Linked DNA regions of Arabidopsis thaliana. The protein of the gene in region 1 interacts with the protein of each later gene in a pairwise test. Each region holds a gene or a part of one and is shown on either strand. Other genes may lie near its edges.

Region 1 (6,113 bases):
ACAAGCTCTGTGTGTGGGACATGCGTCCTTATGCTCCACAAAACCGATGTGTAAAGATCTTTGAGGGGCATCAACACAACTTTGAGAAGAACCTGCTGAAATGTTCATGGTCACCTGATGGTACAAAAGTTACTGCCGGTAGCTCAGACCGTATGGTTCATATCTGGGACACAACCAGTCGGCGCACTATATATAAGCTCCCAGGCCATACCGGTTCTGTCAATGAGTGTGTTTTCCACCCAACCGAGCCTATCATTGGATCTTGCAGTAGTGATAAAAATATCTACTTGGGAGAGATCTGAATTTCAAAGCTGTGAAACCTTTGCAACTCTAAGTGGAATTGAAGTCTTTAGAATCGACGATGTGCTTTGAGACATTTTGTTTATTGAAAGAAAAAACGAAACATTGCTCTTTGGTACAAGTAATCAAGATTTGTTATCTCCTGTAATATCTTCATTACGCTCTTTATCTTCTTCTACTTTAACAGATGAGGTCATCATTTTAGTTCTCCTTAAAATTGTTATCTTTGGTATTACAATCTTGCAGTATCTTCGATTAGATTCTTACAGATTCAAGCAGTAGCAAGTATAAGCCCAGTCCAGTAACCAACTAACGCATATAAGTCTTTAGATTCAACAATGTGCTTAAGAAAGTTTGTCTATTGAAAGTAAAAAGCGAAACAGTGTTACTGCTACAAGTGATCAAGAAGAAGATTTGTTATCTCCTGTAATATCTTTATGCTCTTCATCTTCTTCTACTCTAACTTTGCTTCCACAGCAACCTCTTCTTCTATGTTCTTCAACCACAGTTTTTTTTACAATGCTGTCTCTTTTCTCTGCAAGCTCCAATCTTTTCTCCATAAACTCAGAATTCTCCTTCCAAATCTCTCCATTAGTGTAAACCTCTTTCTTCCATATCGGAACCGATGCCTTCAACTCGTCGATCAAGAACTTGCAAGCATCTAAACCATCTGCACGGTGAACAGATGAGACCGCAATGAGCACGCTAGTTTCTCCAACAGGAACTGGTCCAAGACGGTGAGCAACAGCAATCTTGTGGATATCCCAAGTTGATCTAGCAGTTGTACAGATCGAGCTGAGGCATCGTGTGGCCATTGGCACATATGCTTCATACCTTAACTCCAACACTGTCTTGCCCTCGAACATGTCTCTTGTAGTGCCTGAGAATGTCGCAATAGCACCAGCTTGAGGGGCACTGACATAATCAATGTACTTAACAACATCGACTTTGTGACCTTCCTCCAAGATCTCTATAAGGTTCTTCTCCTCTGCAGACATCTTTGATCCAATAGTAAACCTCGATACAATCGATGTTCTAGGAAGAGTAAACCAAGCTTAGCAGATGATCCGATAGCAAATTCTAACCTGCAATTGGAGGAAATAAACAACCATGACTATCTCATCACCTATCATCCAAAACTAATCAAACAGACAATTTGTTTAGTCAAAGGCAAACAGAGCAAATGAGGAACCTTTCTTGCGCAATCTAATGGCAATCACATCTTACTAATCCAGAAATGGAAGAGTCAAATCAACAAAGTAGGAGAATAGTGGACCAATGAACAAACTCAAAAAACGATGTCTCAAATCGGATTAAGAATTTGCCAAATCGGTCAATTTTTATTGAATCAGACAAAAACAGCAAAGGCACAAAACTCGTCTACAAAACTGACCAAAGTTCGAGTTTTTGTAAGATTGAGGATCGAATGGATAGAATCATAGAAAGACAGAGATAACGACAAAGAAGAATCGTCTCTTTCAGTACCTTACTACACTAAAAGTTTGTAATAACTTTAACAGCTACCCAGAAATTAAAAGAAGGCAAAGAACAAAAAGAGATCCAGAAAGATTTTATCTGACCTTTGAGAGTTTGGTAGGGCTGCATGATGAAGAAGAACATGTGCTCTATATTCACCTTCTTGTTGGATCAGACTAGTAGGTTGGTGAGATTGTAAAAAACAAAACTTTACTAATTCAATTTCAAAGTCTCTTCTTTTCTCCAGATACTCTGTTTTACCATTCAAGGAAAAAGGATAAATCTTGTAGAAAGAAGATGCCAAAATGATTTTTTTATTTAGAAATTAAACAGCGACGTCGTTTTGCAGCTACAGTGCGATCATCTAATCAGTCAGTGTCTTCAAGTTTAAACCGCATCTCTAGTCTCTCTCTACTTCTCTCTGTGTACAATATTCGGAAAGTGAGGAAGATACACTGAAGCAAAAGAGCAAGTCATGGCGGCGACATCTTCCTCTGCTTTTCTCCTTAATCCGTTGACTTCTCGCCACCGTCCTTTCAAATACTCGCCAGAGCTCTCTTCTCTCTCCTTATCCTCTCGAAAGGCTGCTGCTTTCGATGTTTCCTCAGCTGCTTTCACGCTCAAGAGACAGAGCCGGAGTGATGTTGTGTGCAAGGCTGTATCTATCAAGCCAGAAGCTGGTGTTGAAGGGCTCAATATCGCCGATAACGCCGCTCAGGTTAGATTGTGTTTCGTTTGCATTTGGATAGAGACAGAGGAAATCTAAATTGGTGATCAATTTTGTCAATTTAGGGGAAGATATAAACTAACTGAGTATTATTAGTCTTGTAAATTTGACTTCTTTGAATTTTGATTTCGTTTCTAATTTTTTTATATTCTTTCTGAATGTTATGAATTGATTCAGCTTATTGGGAAAACTCCGATGGTGTACTTGAACAATGTAGTCAAGGGCTGTGTTGCAAGTGTTGCTGCTAAGCTTGAGATCATGGAACCATGTTGCAGTGTCAAGGATAGGTTTGTGTATCCAAATATAATTTGATTTTGGTTTTGCTATCTTTCACATTTATACATTCTGAGCTTGTGTTGTTGTGGTGATTTCAGGATTGGGTACAGTATGATTACTGATGCTGAAGAGAAAGGACTTATAACACCTGGAAAGGTATTTGATTATGGATTTGACCTTTTATTGTTGTTGAATGATTCTGTATTGAGTGTCAACTGTCAAGCCCTCTGATTTTGTTTTCTTGCTGCAAATGTTTTAGAGTGTTCTTGTGGAATCTACGAGTGGGAACACAGGGATTGGCCTTGCATTCATTGCTGCTTCAAAAGGCTATAAACTTATCTTGACGATGCCTGCGTCCATGAGTTTGGAAAGGCGGGTTCTTTTGAGGGCATTTGGAGCTGAGCTTGTGTTAACTGAACCTGCAAAAGGTATGACTGGAGCAATTCAGAAGGCTGAAGAAATCTTGAAAAAAACTCCCAATTCCTACATGCTCCAACAGTTTGACAACCCTGCCAATCCCAAGGTCTGTAATTACTTCTTGTTTCATCATACTCTCTAACTGTGACATGAATTATGAGCTACGATTACTTCTGGCCTTGTACAGTAGTAAGAGGTGGTGTGTGAAAGGGTTCATTAGAGATGATAGTGAAATTCTTCCGCACTTCCTTTTGGATTGTTGTAGAGTTTCTATGGTATACAGTTTTGAATCATCACGATTATATCTGGGATTCACTGGTTCCATTGGTAAAAGCTGCAAGTATTTGTTAGTGTTTTGATATAAGATTAAATGCAGATTCATTATGAGACGACTGGTCCTGAGATTTGGGAAGATACAAGAGGCAAAATCGATATATTGGTTGCGGGGATTGGAACTGGTGGAACTATCACTGGTGTTGGTCGATTCATTAAAGAAAGAAAACCTGAATTGAAGGTACATAGCAAGAGGGCTTGTAGCATATCAGCTGGAATCAACTGTAGATGTTATAACCTCCGTAATTAGATTTAGTTGATGTTTACTTGTACTTGTAGTTATATTTAATTAGTTGATGTTTACTTGTACCAGGTTATTGGTGTCGAACCCACGGAAAGTGCTATACTTTCTGGTGGAAAACCCGGTAAGGCAGTGATTTTGTTTTTCTTGTTTCTCTGGCACGTTATTCTTTTTATCTTGCGTTTATTTGACATGTATTTGAAATGCAGGACCTCACAAGATTCAAGGAATTGGAGCTGGATTTGTACCCAAGAATTTGGATCTGGCTATTGTAGATGAATACATAGCGGTATGATCTGTTGGTTTGGTTCTCTATAACTATACATTCATCTTTTTCACTTTCAGCAAGCAACAATTTTCCTTTTTAACTTCACCTGTTTTGTTGCTTCTTATCAGATTTCCAGTGAGGAAGCTATTGAAACCTCGAAGCAACTAGCTCTCCAGGAAGGCTTGTTGGTTAGTCTATATTTGTTATTCTGTTTGACTTATTTGTTAGTGGGAACACTCTTTATAAAAGATAGAAAACGAATGTAAATGCATATGAGAAATCTATGACGATTAGTAAACGACTATAACCTTTTCAGGTTGGTATATCTTCTGGAGCTGCTGCTGCTGCTGCAATCCAGGTTGCAAAGAGACCTGAAAATGCCGGGAAACTCATAGCCGTAAGTCCTCAATGTTCTTCATCATAATTTCTTTATGGACCAAAACCTAGTCTTGTATCTGTGACCAACCACTGAATGATATAGAAAAAGAGTTCTTAAGTTATCTAATCATGAACCTTGGTCCTTTTAGAGTCTTACTACTTATTTTAACATTTGTATTTGAGTAGTTGGTTTGGTTTATACGTCTAATGAACGTTTACGTTGCCTTAATCTCTCTGCCACACCAAACCCTAGTCATTGCAAAGAACAAGAGAGGAGCTTAATCTCTCTGCCACACCAAACCCTAGTCATTGCAAAGAACAAGAGAGGAGCTTATTATTCAATTACTATAGCCCAACGTAGGGAATCAGTGAAAGGATTTTAGCTTAGTATGGAGTAAAAAATATAACAGATTCATCATATGTATAGTTTGATATGTGAGTTGCTGAATCTTGGTTTTCAGGTTGTGTTCCCGAGCTTCGGGGAACGTTACCTCTCGACCCAGCTTTTCCAGTCGATTCGAGAAGAGTGCGAGCAAATGCAGCCCGAGCTTTGATTTTCTTCTGTAATTTCGTGACCAACAAGGAACCTCTTCTTTGATTTATTGCTGATTGTTTTTCTTCTAATAGACGTTTCTGCAGAAATCTCTACGTCTACTGTGTATATTTACAATTCGCAACGCAATTTGGTGTTTGTTATTAATAAAGGCATAAGAGGTTTTGGTCAAACGAAGAGTCTTCTTCTTGAGCACAATTTTCGAGCGTTTTGTTTAATGTACCTGGAAACTTGTTTAGCTTTCTCCCAATGGAATCCATAAATGAAAGTTATGACGACTCTTCGAGTTTTGGACAAGACAGTCTCCTATATAATCGTCCTTTCGCCTATCTATATCTCTCCTTCCACTTAAAACTATTGTACTCTGTGCCTGCTTCTTATATAGCGATGATAAGAGCAGGATCAGTGGGAAAAAAATCGACATGTGAGTATACTTATTGGGACGACGGTGTTGGAGAAGAGGTGATGGGTGACGATAGTTGGGATTACGAGGGACGCAAGATCTCTCACATATATGTTGCTTTCGACGAAGTCATAATGTCTATTCAGTTTGGTTTTTTGGAGAATGGAGCTCTAGTCCTGTCTAAACAGCATGGTGGCATTGAGGAGGGCTCCAACTTTCGTGTTGTAAGTTTTGTGTCAATAACAATTATTTATTTTTGCGTTTGCGTAAGATCCGGTCAAGTTTTGTTTTTGATGAAGTTTAAACGCAGTTGAGACTGAATCAAGACGAATATGTAACTTGATTAAGTGGAGTACTAAGAAAGCATGGTGGAGGGATCAGAAATTTGACATTTCGCACTAACGTCGGGGAGTATATGATTGGACGTTCAAGCGACAATTATCCAAATCATTGGAAGATAGATATTGATCCGGCAATATGTGATGAACGTGAGTTTGGTGGTTTCTTTGGGTCTAACAATTTATACCATCTGACATCGATTGGTATGTATTTGAGACCCATTACAAGTCTCGACATGGTTGTTAAACGCGAAAACAGTTGACCAAGAAAGCCTTGTAGCCTAGTTCAAGTTGCCTGTTGAGTTTTATCTTAAATAAAGTAGCATTTTTGGATCAATCATCTTTCTATTTCTCAACTCTCAAGTAATAATAAAAAATGGTCCCATTTCTTCCTTTATTATTT
Region 2 (5,089 bases), on another chromosome or scaffold:
TGTCTTTCTTGTTTTGGTAAATAATAAGACGAAAAATATGAAACCAAAAAAATGAAGAAATTTATATGTCTAACGACTCTTTTCTTTGACTATAATCATCTTTTCTTTTTAGGTCCCAACCATTTCTTCTTGTATTATCTATCACATATCATCAGATCCAAAATCAACTTGATTAACTTCCTTACTGAATTAGATGTAATCAACGAACAACTTGGAATTATCTTAATCAATTCGTGTTGTTAGTTTGCATTTCTCTACTAATAATTGTCTACATAGATACTAACTTACCAAGTATCAAAGGATCCTAAGAAGTCCAAAATGATATCTCATTAGAAGTCAATTAATCCATATAATTAAGATTTTTAGTAAGAAATACATAGATGAACAATGATGTTAACATGTAAAGTTGCCTCAAAAAACATTCTCCTCCAATACCTTATATGAAATCAAATTAAGAATCATTTGAGAGCTTGGTTACACAATTTAAGTTTTTTCTTTACTTTGCTTTAGAATAAAAACAGTCTCATCCAGCTCCTGATAAGAGGTTTTAATATGCCTCTATGTTATTAACCAGCGTAAGTCCACAACTGATTTCAGTGGCTTATCATGATTCATGGATAGAGTTTGAGGGAGATTTTGGGACTTAGGAGACTGCTATACGCATAAGTTGTAGCACATATGGCTCAGTCTCTCATCATCCGTGTTGAAAACATACAATGGTCAGCACCTATTATGGATCGGGCCTATATGAAAAAAAAAAAAAAAAAAAAAAGCAACAGTTCTGGAGAGTTTCCATCATTCAATGTGTAAACTAATTTTCTTAAACATCTTGTTAATTTTCCTAAGATCTGAAGCATTAATGGGATTTCATATAGGCTTCAAAGGCTATATAAATTTTCCTATAGCCCAACTAAATATATTATCATATTGGGCTCACTTACTTGGAGTCTTGGACGGTTTAACAAGTTTGTACTATTGTTTATTATTCACAGCCTATTAACATAATTTAATCCTAATGCTATATTAATTAAATAGATTATATTCAATTAATTAGTTATACAGCAAACACAGGAGCTTTCTGTCCACATGCACGACCACCATGCATAGTCCCTTCTTTACGGTCTATATTCATTTGACCTCTTCATCTATATAATTTCATTTATTCCCCTAAGATTATTATACCAAAGTGAATAGAAAAAAAAAGAAACCGTCTATGCGTTTAGTTTTTCCCCAAATTGCTATAACTTAAATCATATAGATTTGTAGAGAAAATATCAGAAGAATACGAAAATTAAAAGTATGAGTAATTTTTTTATTAGCTGAAAAACGAGAATGCGAGAATTTTTATAAAGACAACTTTTTGTTTCGACCTTTTTTTTCTTCTTCCGCACGTGTTCCCTAATTCACCTAACTACAAGTCTACAAAGTACAAAACCCACTCACCATCCACACGTTACGATTTTGTCGTAAAGTATATACGATTATTCATTTTCTTTTTCTATTTGTCAAACGTGAATATTGTTTTTATTGTATTAAAAAGAATTATTTAGTTTTCAATTTTTGGTTGCTTCAAGAAAATACTCACTAACAATAACATACCAAAAATATTATCTTCCAATATCGTTTTATTAGAAAAGCGTCGAAATTGATACCTTAATTTTGTATGATATCAAGTAGTGAATCACATTTCTTAATACACAAATTAGCATAACGTTGCAAAAGAAAAAAAAAATTAGGAAGGAGAAAAAGAAAATGTATTCTTACAAAAACATTAACGTTGTTATACTACAACAAAGAAAATAATTATTTTTCTAGTTTGAAATACTTTTGAAAATCAACGTTGTTATTAACTTTTATATATTTATTTATTATTAATTTTCACAAAAAGTTGTTATTAAGGAGAAAAGTGTGTTGTTGTTTTATTTTATTTTATTTTTTAATCCAGGGAATAAATAATTTAACTATAACCACTTTAAGAAAATGTGACAGAGCCACCAAAAAGAGCATAAAAAGTAAAATTAAAATAATAATTATGATTTTGTATTAAAAGAAAGAAAGAAAAAAAAAGGAGAGGAGAAGAAGCAGTGGAGAGAGAGCATGTGAATAAAAAGCGTGAAGCTTTTTGATATCTCTTTCTCTTCCTCTTCCTTTCTCCTCCGATAGATTTCGCCGGCGATGGCGGTGGACTCCTTAGAAACGGAGATTGACACGGCGGTGCGTGTTGTCCACCTCGCTTCTTCTCTCTGTGTTAAAGTTCAAGAGAAGCTTCATCTTCCTAACGGTGGTCACGTTAAGTCTAAAGACGATGATTCCCCTGTCACCGTCGCTGGTTCGATTTCTCTGTTTCTCTGTTTTGTGTTCTGTTTTTTTCTAATTGTAATTTTGAGATCTGTTTGTGTTAAATAAAAAAAAAACGAATTTTTGATGTTGGATTGTGTAATCGAATAATCATGTTCTTTAATTCGTTGATAGATGAAACAAAATGTGTATTAAAATACAAAAGTTTGCAACTTTTCATCACTTCCAATGATTCTCTGTATTAGTAGTTCAATAGTGTATCAAAGTTTTAAACTTTTGTTGATTCACTTGACAGATTTTGGTGTACAAGCAATTGTGAGCTGGGTTTTAGCTGAAGTGTTTGGTGATCAAAACCTTTCAATTGTTGCTGAAGAAGACACTGAGACACTCTCTGAGGCTGATTCTTTAGGTCTTTTAGGAGCTGTGTCGAATGCGGTTAATGAAGCATTGTCCGAAGCTCAGAACTACGGGCTTCCGAAGCCAGTTAAGCCATTGGGGTCTAGTGAAATTCTTAAGGCTATTAGTAGATGTAACTCTGTTGGAGGACCTAAAGGAAGGCATTGGGTTCTTGATCCTGTTGATGGAACGTTAGGGTTTGTTCGTGGGGATCAGTATGCTGTTGCTTTAGCTTTGATAGAGAATGGTAAAGTTCTTTTGGGTGTACTAGGATGTCCTAATTATCCGGTTAAGAAAGAATGTTTAAGTAATGGTTGTAACCAAGCTATGAAGACGAAAGCTGTTGCTGGTTCAGTATCGAAAGGATGTGTTATGTATGCAAAGAGAGGTAGTGGTCAAGCTTGGATGCAACCTTTGATCGTTGGAGGAATACCAGAATCTGCAACACTTCTTAAGGTTTCTTCAGTTGATGATCCGGTTTTAGCTACAGTTTGTGAGCCAGTAGAGAGAGCAAACTCAAACCACTTGTTCACTGCAGGACTTGCCAATAGCATGGGAGTTAGGTAAATGTTGTTTATTCACTCTCTTATTCAAATGTTACGTTATTGACCAAAAGTTTTTTGCTCTGCAGAAAGCAGCCTATGCGAGTGTATAGCATGGTGAAATATGCAGCGATTGCACGTGGAGACGCTGAAGTGTTTATGAAGTTTGCACAGTCAAGTTACAAAGAGAAGATATGGGATCACGCAGCTGGAGTTGTTATTGTGGAAGAAGCTGGTGGTGTGGTGACTGATGCGGGAGGGAGAAACTTAGACTTCTCGAAAGGTGTTTACTTGGAAGGTCTTGACCGTGGAATCATCGCATGTTCTGGTCAAGTTTTACATGAGAAGATTATAGGTGCTGTTTATGCTAGTTGGGAATCTTCCAGTCTCTGAAAAAGCTTATCCACAATCCGTAGTTTGGTGCAGCATCATCGAGCCAAAGCAAAGGTAAAGAAGATAACAAATTGTCCTCTTCAAGATTGTAATCATATTTGTAGATTACTGCATAAGCTAGTGGTTTTTAATCGGTTTATTTGTTCCGGTTTAGGAGGAACAAGGGCCATTACGGTTTAGGATGAGCAAGGGCCAGTTTCAATGAATGTGAATGGCGGAGAAGTAAATATAGTCGAGGAAGCAGCGGTAAAAGTAAGAATCTAGTTTATTTACCTATCTAAGAGTAATAAAGCTGCTGCATTTCACGAACCCTTATGTTCTATGATCTTTAATGGATGATATCATTTTTAATCTTCGTCCTGTAATAATTCACCTTCAAAACGCGGATTATACATGTCGTTTTCCTGACAAAAGACAAAAATTAGTAAATTACTGAATAGGCTCTAACTTACTCCATGCTATTTCAATGGTTAACGACCCAAATTGTCTCTCAAATTTAAAGATTCAACTAGAAATTGCCGATAATATTGGTCCAGTTTTGGGCTAATAAATTTTGTTTATTGGGCCGACTCGATGACCATTTTAAAGAGGACTCAATAGATTTTTATTGATACGAAAATATTATTAAATCAGACCGAATTAAAATGCCTTGAACTCCGGTTTAGCCGACATGTTTGGCACCCTAATGAGAATAGCTTAGTTAGTTTTGTGTTAGTCTAAAGATTAAAAGTAAAAAGTTTGATTCTGCCGACAATTTCTTAGATTTGGTGCTATTTAAAAGATTTCCCTCTTCAATTTTATCGAATTCCAACCTTCAAATAGGCTTTTCCATACATTTATTGAAGAATTTATCATTATCAGTCACAATTATGTGTCTTCATCTTTATACGTACATAATTACTAGTAATAATTAAATTCTACTACTAATAGAGGACGGCCAAAGTGTCAGTAATGATGCATGAATGGTTAGTTGATAAACATCTCTTTCTTATGAATTCAATTTTTCAATTTTTTTTTTTTTTTTTTATATTTATTTCGTATACTTGTATTTTGTTGAATATTATTAATACATAGCTACATAAAATGTGATAAAAGATTAGGTAAAGTAACAATTGGTAAGAAAATATCACAAAGAAGCAAATGACAAGGATAGTCTCATAAGTCATAATCAATACAGTTTACCTATGTCAAAAAAAGAGTCTCATATACAGTACCTATAATGTTAAAAAATTAAAATACTTAAACCTTTTCTCTCTTTTTTTTTGGTCAACAAAAATAGTAAAACTTTCATATGAACATTTGTCTGCCAAATTCTATTATCTAGTTGAAGTAAACATATCCAAAATATTAAACTGAGTAGGCGCATCATATTAACGTTTGTAAAAAAAACAACTATACATGGTGTATCTCTAAATTCTAAAACTACATATATGATTGGTTATGTTGACAGTAAACATGTA

The links. Proteins that work in one complex are often made in the same cells at the same time.
Region 2: the proteins of OASB (region 1) and HL interact in a two-hybrid assay, tested with the Arabidopsis thaliana proteins (one large-scale study listed by BioGRID).

Annotation. Positions count from the first base shown.
Region 1 is NC_003071.7:18,128,461-18,134,573, reverse strand, and holds OASB (O-acetylserine (thiol) lyase B), read left to right. Parts: upstream 1-1,935; 5' UTR 1,936-2,251; coding exon 2,252-2,494; intron 2,495-2,680; coding exon 2,681-2,790; intron 2,791-2,877; coding exon 2,878-2,935; intron 2,936-3,038; coding exon 3,039-3,302; intron 3,303-3,572; coding exon 3,573-3,710; intron 3,711-3,842; coding exon 3,843-3,894; intron 3,895-3,979; coding exon 3,980-4,059; intron 4,060-4,166; coding exon 4,167-4,226; intron 4,227-4,354; coding exon 4,355-4,435; intron 4,436-4,732; exon of another isoform or gene 4,733-4,877; coding exon 4,878-4,970; 3' UTR 4,971-5,139; downstream 5,140-6,113. Other genes in the region: AT2G43770 (Transducin/WD40 repeat-like superfamily protein), read left to right, coding at 1-302; AT2G43760 (molybdopterin biosynthesis MoaE family protein), read right to left, coding at 702-1,298; AT2G43745 (jacalin lectin-like protein), read left to right, coding at 5,219-5,596, 5,683-5,715. UniProt on the Arabidopsis thaliana protein: Acts as a major cysteine synthase.
Region 2 is NC_003076.8:22,083,958-22,089,046, forward strand, and holds HL (HAL2-like protein), read left to right. Parts: upstream 1-2,040; 5' UTR 2,041-2,175; coding exon 2,176-2,329; intron 2,330-2,593; coding exon 2,594-3,257; intron 3,258-3,325; coding exon 3,326-3,629; 3' UTR 3,630-3,683; intron 3,684-3,783; 3' UTR 3,784-4,137; downstream 4,138-5,089. UniProt on the Arabidopsis thaliana protein: Phosphatase that converts adenosine 3'-phosphate 5'-phosphosulfate (PAPS) to adenosine 5'-phosphosulfate (APS) and 3'-phosphoadenosine 5'-phosphate (3'-PAP) to AMP. May regulate the flux of sulfur in the sulfur-activation pathway by converting PAPS to APS.